Linked DNA regions of Danio rerio. The protein of the gene in region 2 interacts with the protein of the main gene of each other region in a pairwise test. Links are inferred from orthologs where the notes say so. Each region holds a gene or a part of one and is shown on either strand. Other genes may lie near its edges.

Region 1 (5,506 bases), on a different chromosome or scaffold from region 2:
AGTGTTTATGGATGTTTCCCAGAGATGGTTTGCAGCTGGAAGGGCATCTGCTGCGTAAAACATATGCTGGATAAGTTGGCGGTTAATTCCCAGATTAATAAAGTGACTAAGCCGAAAAGAAAATGAATGAATAAATTAAACAAAATAGATAAACAAATATATAAAAACTGGATTAAAATAATCAAACAATACAAAAATATAACAATAAATAAGAATTAAATAAAAAATCCAATATTTGATTAAAATAAATGAATAATCTGACTAAAATAAACATTCATACTAATTCAATTTGACTAAAATAATTAAACTAAATATTCTGCAAATAATTTTCAGACCAATTCATTAAATAACACTTTCATAGCAATAATAAGTATAAACCACAATGTGCATTAAACCATACAGAACCCTTTTGCACAAAGATGATCATATTTGGGGGACTGTAAACATTGCAAATTATCTCATTAAAGTGTATTAAACCATTTTAACATGATTAAAAGTAAATACTGAGTGACTGATACCAAAATTCAACATATAATTGTTTGTTCATATTAGATTGACAGTATTTACATTCATGTTTTCTTTCCCTTATATATTTATAGCATCTGTTGTTTGTATCATGCATTATTGGTATCACTACGACAATAAAGTTCACAAAAAGTATATTCAAACTTATGCCATAAGACCAAGACCGGTTACTCACTAAAGCCAAGGAGGGCTGAGCCTGGTCAGTACCTGTATGGGAGAACACATGGGAAAACTAGGTTGCTGTTAGAAGTGGTGTTAGTGAGGCCAGCAGGGGGTGTCTGTGTGAGTCCTAATGCCCCAGTATAGTGAAGGGGGCACTATACCGTCAGTGAACACCATATTTTGGATGAGATATTTAACCGAGGTCCTGACTCTCTGTGGTCATTAAAAATCCCATAGCACTTGTAAAGAGTAGGGGTGTAACCCCGGTGTCCTGGCTAAATTCCCTCCATTGGCCCTTACCCATTATGGCCTCCCAATCATCCCCATCCACCGAATTGGCTCTATCACTATCTCTTCATTCCACCAATAGCTGGTGTGTAGTGAGCGCACTGGCGCTGTTGTCCTGTGGCTGCCATAGCATTATCCAAGTGGATGCTGCGCACTGGCTGATGGTGTTGAGAAACCCCCTCATGATTGTGAAGCACATTGGGTGTATGGCCATACACAATAAATGCGTTATATAAATACATTACATGTCTCACTAACATTAAGTAATTACTCACTCTCAAAAAAAAAGTATCGTTAAAAAAACTTGTAAGGACAAAAATGGCCATTTTCTGCATCTGCTTGGGACAGTGTAAGAAGGAAGTTTGAAATACGTCACCAGTGAGAGGTCTGCTTTAACGAAAGATCAAGTTACGACTTTTCAAACTAAGAAAAATAATTTAAACGTAAATGCATGAATGATTCATTGAGATTCATTCACAACAGTATCAATAGAGCAATTTATATTTCATCCCAAATTTATTAGACTGCAAAAAGAAATGTTTTACTATGAATGCAACAGAATGATGATTTGAGTCACCTTCTTGAGTGTCCGGTGGGCGTGTCTCATGTGACCCTGTGTCATCTCCACTCCACCAATCAGCTGCAGCGTTTCTGCTACCTCAGTGCTGAGCTCACCAAACGTGCTCTTCTTCAGGGACAGAGACTCTCTCTGGATCTCAGCACATCTCTGAAAACACACAGTAAATACACCAACAGTGCTTATAGACTACATTTATCCATCCTAAATTATATTAAAAAATAGCATGTCCATATTATAGGATGTTTAGAAATCTGAAGTGCAGATCCAGTTAATTTTACCCACTCCCAATCCCATTTGGATTCAATTAGAACTGCAAACACATACCAAAATGTGTACAAATGATACATCCTACAAGATTCTAAATAGTAGTCAATATTGTTTTTACTATTATCAATGTACAGAACAGTTTTGTTTCAGTTTCAGCATTTGATGAAAAGAAAATATATTAGGAATAGTCAAGTATGCTTTTACCCATATTTGAAAACTGGTCTGCTGTATTTGACCCATCCATGTGCACACACACACATTATGAGTGAGAGTACACACGCCATTCATTTACTTCCCTCATTGATTCCTGATGTTATTGGGAATCGAACCTTCAATCTTTGGATTACAAGCCTGACTCCTAGTCATTACGCCACAATTGCCCTCATTATTATTATTTTCATATTTACTGTTACATTTGATTAACTGAATTAAAAATATAAAAAATGATAAATAAAAAATTAAAACTATTGTTTACCTTTTGTTTGTTTTTTTAGGTTTTTATATATTATACTGATTGCTAGTCCACTGTCATTTATACTTGCAAATCTCAACTGTGTAGCATCATCACAACATGTAACAATATTGTCACTTAAATCTTTATACTGATATATTTTTTGTATGTCCAATTTAATCTGCAAACATTTAGTATACTTACAATGTTGGGTAACGCATTACAATTAAAGCAAGAAATATTACAACAATAGTATTACTTTTTAAATTAATGAGTAAGTAACACATTACTTCAAAAAAAAGTATAATAAAATTAACGTAAAATGAGTTTCAGTTCAGTTTAGTTTTTTTTTTTAAATATTAATGTTCTCCCTTAAATTATAATTGTTTTGTTTTTACTTTTTAAACTAGTAATGGCTCAGTATCTTTAGAATTTTTCATTTCAATTTCAGTCACCTTGCATATGATTGTGAAATTAATTGCATCCATAACAGCGTCAAAACAGTCTGTCTATAGATTCGGCTGCATATACACAGTAAAAAAAGTTGACTCAACTCAAAATTGTAAAGCAACTACTGTAGCTGCAGAGCGTTTTTGAGTTGACTCAACTTTCAACTCAAGCATTGCACTTGATTCGATTTTAATTGAGTAAACTCAAAAATGTCCTAAAGCTGGCTGCCTTAATACTTTAATTAGAATCAATGTTTTGTTTTGTTTTTTTTGTTTTTTACAGTGTAGAAATGTGCTTTATAATGTAAAAAAAACTTAAAGTAGTACATACTTTATATATTTCAAATACAAAACACATCTGTTCCATATTACACAGATTACAAAGATGAGTTGAAGCTGACCTCGTGTTGTCCTGTGAGTAGGAGAAAATGACTGAAGTCGTCTTGAGCAGACAGTGTGAGTTTGTCCTGTGGGCCGAGTGCACTTCTATATGCACTTATACTCTCTTCAAAATACCGTGCTGCTAAATCTACTGAAAGAGAAAAGGAGATGCACATAATGACAGTAATGTAGTATTCATACAAGGCGTCCACTTTCCATCGAAGAGCCACTCCAATACTGTCAAGTTTTCTATTTGATTAGCCGAAGGTCACCTTTAGCTCTACTGGTGTACTTGTTATGCAGGACAGGTAACACAAAGGGTGTGCTTGTGTATTGCCTGCTAAACACTTGTATACTGTACAACCCCGCCATTAGCTAAGGACATTGCATAAAAAAAACACAGAGATTCACATAAATTGTAAAAATGTGCATAATAAACATCTGCAGACAACTGAGCAGTATTGGGGAAAAAAGTAACTTAAGTGACTGTAAATAAAACTAAAATTCTTACTTTATTTTTCAAGTAAATGTAAAAGTATGTTATTTTATGCTATTTTTGTTTTGTTTTTTTAGTGTTGAGTAAGGCTTCAAATAGCAAATTATTACTTTTTTTTTACCCAACACTGAAATTGAGTTGGATACATTTTAATCTGATAAATAGGTGAATGGATAAACATGTTTACAGAATAAATATTTTGATGAGGATCAAGAAAGTAAAGTTAGATTCTGCCTCAACAGCAATCAACAGTGATTGGATAACTAGAATTAACAGGAAACCATCTCATTTCACACTATCTCAAACATTGTTTTAATAATTCTGCAAAACATGAGTGAAATTCTATCATCAAATGATTTTCTGCAGTATAATGACCTTATTCTGCATGTACGAGTGGGCATAGTCATTGGAATGTTTTTGGCTTAAGATTTCCGGTCTCATTCACTTCAATTAATTTTTAGATGTTTAAAACAGCTCATTATGCTGCAAACTGATGTTTTCTTATTATATTATTCATCTTTTTATGCTTACATGCATGAACACGCTTGTTTGTAGAGCAAGTAGTCAAACCATTTCCGTTTATTATTCCTAGCCATTTCTCCCATAGGCGACTGAATCGGAAATTCTGAAACGATCACAAACATGAGCAAACTTCCACACTGCAGAATAAGGCCAATAGCCTACACCTCAAAGAACCAGCCTCAATGTTGTCTGGTGCAATCTTATATACAACTTTTTTTTAATTCATTTTTTTATTTAATCATTTATTATTAATATTCATATACAGTGGGGAAATAAGTATTGAAGACGTCATGTTTTTTTCTGGGAATAATATTTCTAAAGGAGCTGTTGACATGGACTTGAACAAGATTTTGGTACAAATCCAAACAATACAAAAATAAAAATAATTAAAAACAAAATAAAATCTGAAAAATTAGTTCTGTGTAATAAGAATGAAATGACACAAGTAAAACAAGTACTGAAAGGAATTGAATACTTTATATAAAAGGCTCATTTGTTGATGGCAGCTTAAAGACAACTTTCATATGGAAAATGAAATCACGTTAATTGCTCAGGTGTCAGTCACAGATTTAACAAAGTGTAAAAATCTTGATGGTTCTATAAGTCTCTTATATCAAGTCTGATTTTAATTTATATTTTCTATTGGATTGAAGTCAGGTGATTGGCTGGGCCATTCTACAGCTTGATTTTCTTTCTCTGAAAGCATTTGAGAGTTTCCTTGGCTGAGTTTCACATCGTTGTCTTGCTGAAATGTCCACCCTAATTGCATATCCATCATCCTAATGAAGATGTTGGACTGAATCAGCTAATATTAATTTACAATCACAAAGGGCAAAGAATTGCTACATTACTACCAGGAGATATCAGCTGCTGTCTGGGTTTTCACTGCTGTTCTACTCCTCCCTTTCTTTATGTGTTCAATACTTTTTCCCTGCATCATTTCGTTTTATTATGCATAACTCAATTAGTAACTAATTAAATTTGTCTTCTTTGCATACATGGATATCTTTGATTGTTACAAACACCAGGGGAAAATTTCAAGTCAACAACACAGCAACCCAACAATCAGTTTTCAGAGAAAAACGGTGACATGTTCAATACTTATTTTCCCTGCTGTATCACACTAGTTTTCCAAAAAGTAATGATTTTTTTGTTCTTTTAAACACATAAAATGAAAACTGTCTTGTTTGCAAAAGGTTTTTGCAAAATATGAATTTTGCACATAAAGTAAATTCACAACTTTGAATGAAGACATCTAAACATCTAAGTTATCTAAAGGACAGCTCACATTTTATATTTCCTAATATAATAATATTGCTCAGAGTGTCATAAACTCCCAGTATTGTGAGATTATTGTGAAAGCATTAGGTCACCATTGTGTTGAG
Region 2 (6,104 bases):
CTCATGATCAAACTGAAATCACAGTGCAGATATGCACTGCAGTCGGGGGAAAAAAAGTGGCACAACGCACATACTGCTAAATTAATTCCACACCAGCGCTTACATAACCAGCGGCCTCAGACAAACTATGCCAGCATGAATATGTAATTCATCACAAAATTGCAGAGATGGTGAACCACGCAGGAGCCACAAACAGAAAAAAGACAACCTTGAAGCTGCTCGTGAAAACTTGCAAACATGCCACAGGGGGACCAGCCACAAGAGGATGTGGACATATAGAGACACCATCCCGACAGATTCCAGCCGAGCTCAGACAGGGAGCAAAAAGAGTGGCATGGAAAGCTGTGATTCAGTGCAGTTAGCAGAGACTGACTCGACGTTAATGAGCTCTCCCTCTGTATATACGTCTGCAGGAAGCTACAGTCTTACATAAACACTTGGCGTATAAAGGCTTCTCATAAATGGAAACAGTAAAAATGATAGAACGAGGTGTTTTAGAGACCTTAAACCTGTGAGACAAGGCTAGCCGGCGGGGCACGTAGTGTCCTTACGAAGACAGTGCGCTGACCACATTTACTAACGCTGTATTTCAGAGCCCTCTAACATATGAGAGTGATTTAACTCATCTATTATTTTCCGACTCACTGACGCAAGCACCTTTCCACCCCCCTAGGTGATCTCATCCGGAGCAGAGTCTGGACGCTGCTGACACGCAGTAACAGGCCACTCTATTTCAGGCTTTTACTGTATAAGAATGTGCCATGAGCTGAGTCACATCCACTTTAAACACAAACGGGAATCTTAATATACTTGGGTGGTGGGGGGATGGGGGGGTTCATTCAAAACTTCATCCCATTCGAAAACAAAATGTCAATAGATCAGGTATCATGCTGTGCAAGAAGCTTAGTGGTGTTTGACTAGTTTGAAGAAGCTTTATGTAAGCACTGAGCGAAGAGTGATTGGAGTGTGTATGTGTGTATTCTGGACACCGGACGTTCCAATCTGGGCCAGTTTTTGAGAAGTCATGTTACTTTTTAATTTATGGTCACAAAAAAGCAAAAATATACTAAATATTTGCAATAAACATAAAGTCGCCTAATAGAGAGTTTCACAGTGATCCCATAGAAGAAATATTTTTAGTCCAAAGATCTAAAAAGTAGATCAAAAAGACAATTCATTGGCATTGATGCTTCCATTAAACATTGTTTACATCGTCAACATAAGGTTCTTTTTAGCGGAAATGGTTTTTAACAGTACAGTAAAGGCATTTCACACACACATAAATGATTCCTTTTGGAACTCTTTACTGAAAAGTTGTTTTCAGTAATTTTGTATATGGGAGACGTTCCCATGTACAGAAGTTTGCATCAGCTGGTAAAGACCTTCAACCCACCTAGGTAGGTGTGGCTTTAACACTACTCTGAATTTAATTTCCTCTGTTTAATCCATCATTGTCAGACAAACACAAGTAAAATCAAGCACTAAAGAGCAGTTTTATAGTGGATACTAGGGCTGGGCGATAAAATTGATATCGATATTTATTGACGGAACCACCATTGTCAATATCGATAAAAAAACGATTTAGAATTATTTAGTTCCGGTATAAAGCACTATAGTTTTATTAAAAGTGGCTGATGAACGTGTGCCTTGGAAACAGTGCCAATAAGTTTAGGGTGAAAGTTTGTCATTTCCAATGAAGTCGCGCGACTTGAGCGACGCGCCCATGTTGTGCAGGTGGTGCACACATACACATGTGAACCGTGCACATTTTTGAGCCGCATCTACAGTAGTTAAAAACATTTGAACTTTTCTGAATGCTGAGAGCACACCGCCATTCATGCTAGTAGAATTAACCAATCTGCCTCACACTTTGTATGGAATATACACATTTCAGTAATAACGGCAGACTAATTACCTCAGACAAACACAGCGCAGCCAAACACTGCAGTGCTTTTTACTTTTCTCCATAAACTTGTTGCAGCAATGGTTTTTCTGCAACCATTCCAGATTCCAATTGGAACCAATTCCAGAAACCATGCGCGTGCACTTGTTACTTAAGGTTAGAATAACAACACATGCGAAAATGAGTGCCATATAGCAGCATTGAGGAGATTATAAACAATAAAAGATGTAAAGATGTCGCCAGAGTGGCTTTTTGGTTTCTTTTCTTGTGCATCCTAGCCACTAGCTCCCCATCTGAGACATGTTTTAGCGTAGGGGTAATGTAGCCATTTAAGTATTTAACAATTTGTATTGTTATAATATGTATTTAAATAATTTGAGTTTTACTGCATCATTATTATTGACATCTTACAGATGTTGTTCTACCTTTATCATTGCACACACTTTGTAGCATTTTATTCATCAAGTTTAGGAGTCTCTTTAACACTTATTTATTTTATTATAAAGAGATCAGAAATTTTGTTTAAATATTTTTGTTTTTGACTATTGAACATATTTGCCTTAGTAATGTTGGCAAATTAAAATAAAATGGTTTAAAAAAAAATCTAATATTCCTAAATGTATTTTGTAAGATAATTGTCAATATCAGATGATATGAAACATGATATTGTGATAATATGTTTTGCAATATCACCCAGCTCTAGTAGATACTGATGTTCTGAAAGTTACTGTAGATACTGAAAATATTAATGAGCAACACTGACACCTTTTCTCTATATAAACTTTGCTGTGATTGACTGGGGACACTTTCACATCAGTATTATCAGATGATTTCTGTACATTTGTTTGAATAATTTCAACAAATTTTAGGAAAGAGGAAAAATAGCGCCAAGCTATTTTGAATTTAAAGTTCTATTTTTTTTACTCCTAAAAGAATTGTAAAAAATGTTTTAGTATATATGAACCTGAAGTGTAGTTTCAAAACATTGAATTTCCACAAAATGGTCTCCACAAAACAAAACCAAACCGCTTAGTTGACTCCTGTAAATCAATCCACTCGCAAGGCCCTGCTTTCAAACAAACAAACCAGCCACAAAAACTTAACAAGCTCAACAAACACTCTTTACAGCAGATATAAATACCTATAGGTGACAAAAAACACAAAAGACGTCTCATTTATGTCTTCTAGAGGACAGTGATGTTAAAATGAGAGTAAACTGAGACTTTTGTTTACGCCTCATGCTGCTTATATGGTTTTCCTGTGGGAATCTCACATGTCTCTCTCTGGAGAACCAGAAAAGAGCACAATATTTGACAAGATACCAACGTTTGTAACAGTCTTACTGTCTTAATTTTGTCTTCATTACTTCAAACATTTTAAAGGAGACATCTGGTGACAAACTTAAATGAAGCACAACAGAGTTCACTATTGTATCTTTGTATCTCTGATAAATCAAAACAAAAGCCCAACTTACTCAGCCCCCAAAATAACACAGTATCATTAACATTCTCGCACAGCAGAAAGCACTAACAGTGCTGCTAAAACTTCAAAGAGCGTCTTCTCACCCCAAACCCTATCAGCTTTAAGAAAGTTAATCATTCATTTCACATCACTTCAAAGCTCCCGTGAGCTGCAGTGGTAATCTGAACTCTCGTGCATTCGCAGGCTGCAATAAATCCAGTGGTGTTGCTGACATACCCATAGTGCTCTGCATGGCTGCCTCCTCGCGTCTCCCCAGCCTGTCCTGGAGGTACAATCCCAGTCAGTTCACTGTACTTCTGCTGCTTCTCCTCTCTGTATCACTTTGCTTCTCTCCTACATGCTCATTCTCCGTGCTCCTCCTCCTCATGCCAAAGTTTGCTCTCTTTTCTCTGGCAGAAACCCCCTTCCTCTGTGTCCCGTCCTCTGCTGTTTGCCGCCAGCACCGCCCCCTTCTCCTGCTACCCTCCTCCCATTCGCACTTTGTCTGTGGCCCCTTCCTCCTCCACCACCCCCATCCTCACACACATTTAATCCCTCCTCATACTTGCTCCCTTTTTTCCCCTTGTCTTTCTTCTACCTTTTGCTGTTCTTCATCTCTGACCACGACAGTGTCTGTGGAAAATGGACGACTGCTGTGCAGTTTTTAAGTCTGACATTCAGTGGCTACTTTAAACTTACTGGGCAGGCTGTATCATATTTGATAAGAAGATTTGAAGGGTTCTAAATTGTCAGTGTAATCAAAACTTTGTTGGATAACTCTAGTGTACAATTGACTATATGCCTTCTGTTGTCTTCTTGACAGTTGTGTAATAAGTTTAAGGTCCTTTAGAGTCATTTCTGAAAATTTCCCTTATCAGGACAGGTTGTGGTTTATTTGTCTTTATGTCACATCTTTAAATGATGGTATGGTATGGTATTAGAGGAGTAGCCTTGGATTGGATAATTAGTTATTTAAAAAATAGGCAACAGTTTGTGGAAATTGGCAACCATAAATCATCATATTTAAATGCAAAGTGTGGCATACCACAAAGATCAGTTTTAGGTCCAATATTGTTTATAATTTACATTAATAATATGTGTAAGATTTCAGAGTTGTTTAAGCTTATTTTATTTGCAGATGATACAAGTATCATTTTGTTCTGGGCATAATTTACCAAAATTTATGGAGTTGATTAAAACAAATTAATAAATTGAAATTGTGGTTTGACGTAAACAAATTGTCATTAAATATAAGTAAAACAAAAGGTTTTGTTATCTGGGAAATTAAAAAGTAGACATAATATAGATTTCCAAATTGATAATAAAGTATTTAAGTATAGAGATTATGCAATTATGTTTGTTGGTTTTATATTGGATCATAAAATTAGTTGCGGAAACCGCAAATAAATAATGTAATATCAAAAATAGTAAAAACTGTAGCAATAGTGTAAAAAGCAAGATTTATACTGGACAATATATCAATGTATATATTATATAACACACTTATGTTGCCATATATGAGCTATTGTGTGGAAATTTGGGGGAATACATATACCCCAATATATATATATATATATATATATATATATATATATATATATATATATATATATATATATATTCCCCAATATAATATATATTTACTTACAATCCTTATGTACAATGCAGAAAAAAGTAATTAGACTGATAGAAAATGTGGGGTATTTGGAGCATACAAATCCTTTATTTTTTTAAATTGAAAATACTTAAGTTCAATGATTTGGTTGAATTTAAAACAGCACAATTAATGTTTAAAGCTGGGAATAAAATACTTCCTAAATGCATACAAAAGTTTTTTGAAGAAAGACAAGGGGGATATAATCTGAGAGAAAAACATAATAGGAGGTTGAAAACAAGGACAACTTTAAAAAGTTTGTGTATGTCTGTTTGTGGTGTGAAATTATGCAACATTCTGGAACAGATTTTCAAACAATGTCAGGATATTACTCAATTTTAAAATTTGTATAATTATACATCATTAAAGGAATATAATGATGAAGGTGATTGAAAAAGGATCAAATGAGAAAGGTATGATGAAATTTAAATTAATGGCTATTTGCAGTACTATGTATTTTTTGGGGGTCTATGTTATAAAAAGTAAATGTACAAATAGAATCAAACATACAATATGTCAAAGATGCCAAAAGGATTAAATGTGTCTCATGTAAAAATAAGAGATAAGTAAAAGAAGAAATAAGTTTAAGTGATGAATGACATGTGTGGTAATGGAGTGGGAAAATAATAAGCTTGTGCTTCATCTTGCTCCATTTTTGACCATGTTGAAATGTATTTTCGAAAATGAATAAATCAATTCAAATCAAATCAAAATGAAATACCTTGAAAATTATTGTTGCCAGAGTTTGAGATGAACACTCTAAGGTATAGATCCTTTGAGTTAAACACAAAATAACATATTATGAAGAAGGCTGGAAACCTGTAACAATTGATTTCTATGGTAGGAAAAACTATGGACATCAATGGTTACAGGTTTCCTGCTTTCTTCAAAATATCTTATTTTTTTAAAGAAAAAAGAAACTCAAATACATTTTGAACAAGTGAAAGATGAGTAAATTTTGGATGAACTATCACTTTAAGCCCAGAAATACTTATATTATGTCAAATTAGGAACATTAATGCAACAGTTAATTTTTTACAATGTTTGACACAAGTGCTGTGCGATTATTTGAAATGTTTAAAATGT

What was found.
Region 1: the proteins of lzts2a (region 2) and ttc23 interact in binary tests that used the Homo sapiens proteins (3 or more experiments, as listed by UniProt). The two-hybrid records come from large-scale screens. The link is inferred for Danio rerio from reciprocal best matches to the Homo sapiens genes LZTS2 and TTC23.

The regions. Positions count from the first base shown.
Region 1 is NC_133193.1:22,230,308-22,235,813, reverse strand, and holds part of ttc23 (tetratricopeptide repeat protein 23), read right to left. Parts: coding exon 5,495-5,506; intron 3,255-5,494; coding exon 3,124-3,254; intron 1,703-3,123; coding exon 1,553-1,702; intron 1-1,552. UniProt on the Homo sapiens protein: Participates positively in the ciliary Hedgehog (Hh) signaling.
Region 2 is NC_133188.1:20,793,944-20,800,047, forward strand, and holds the start of lzts2a (leucine zipper putative tumor suppressor 2a), read right to left. Parts: upstream 3,764-6,104; 5' UTR 3,602-3,763; intron 1-3,601. UniProt on the Homo sapiens protein: Negative regulator of katanin-mediated microtubule severing and release from the centrosome. Required for central spindle formation and the completion of cytokinesis.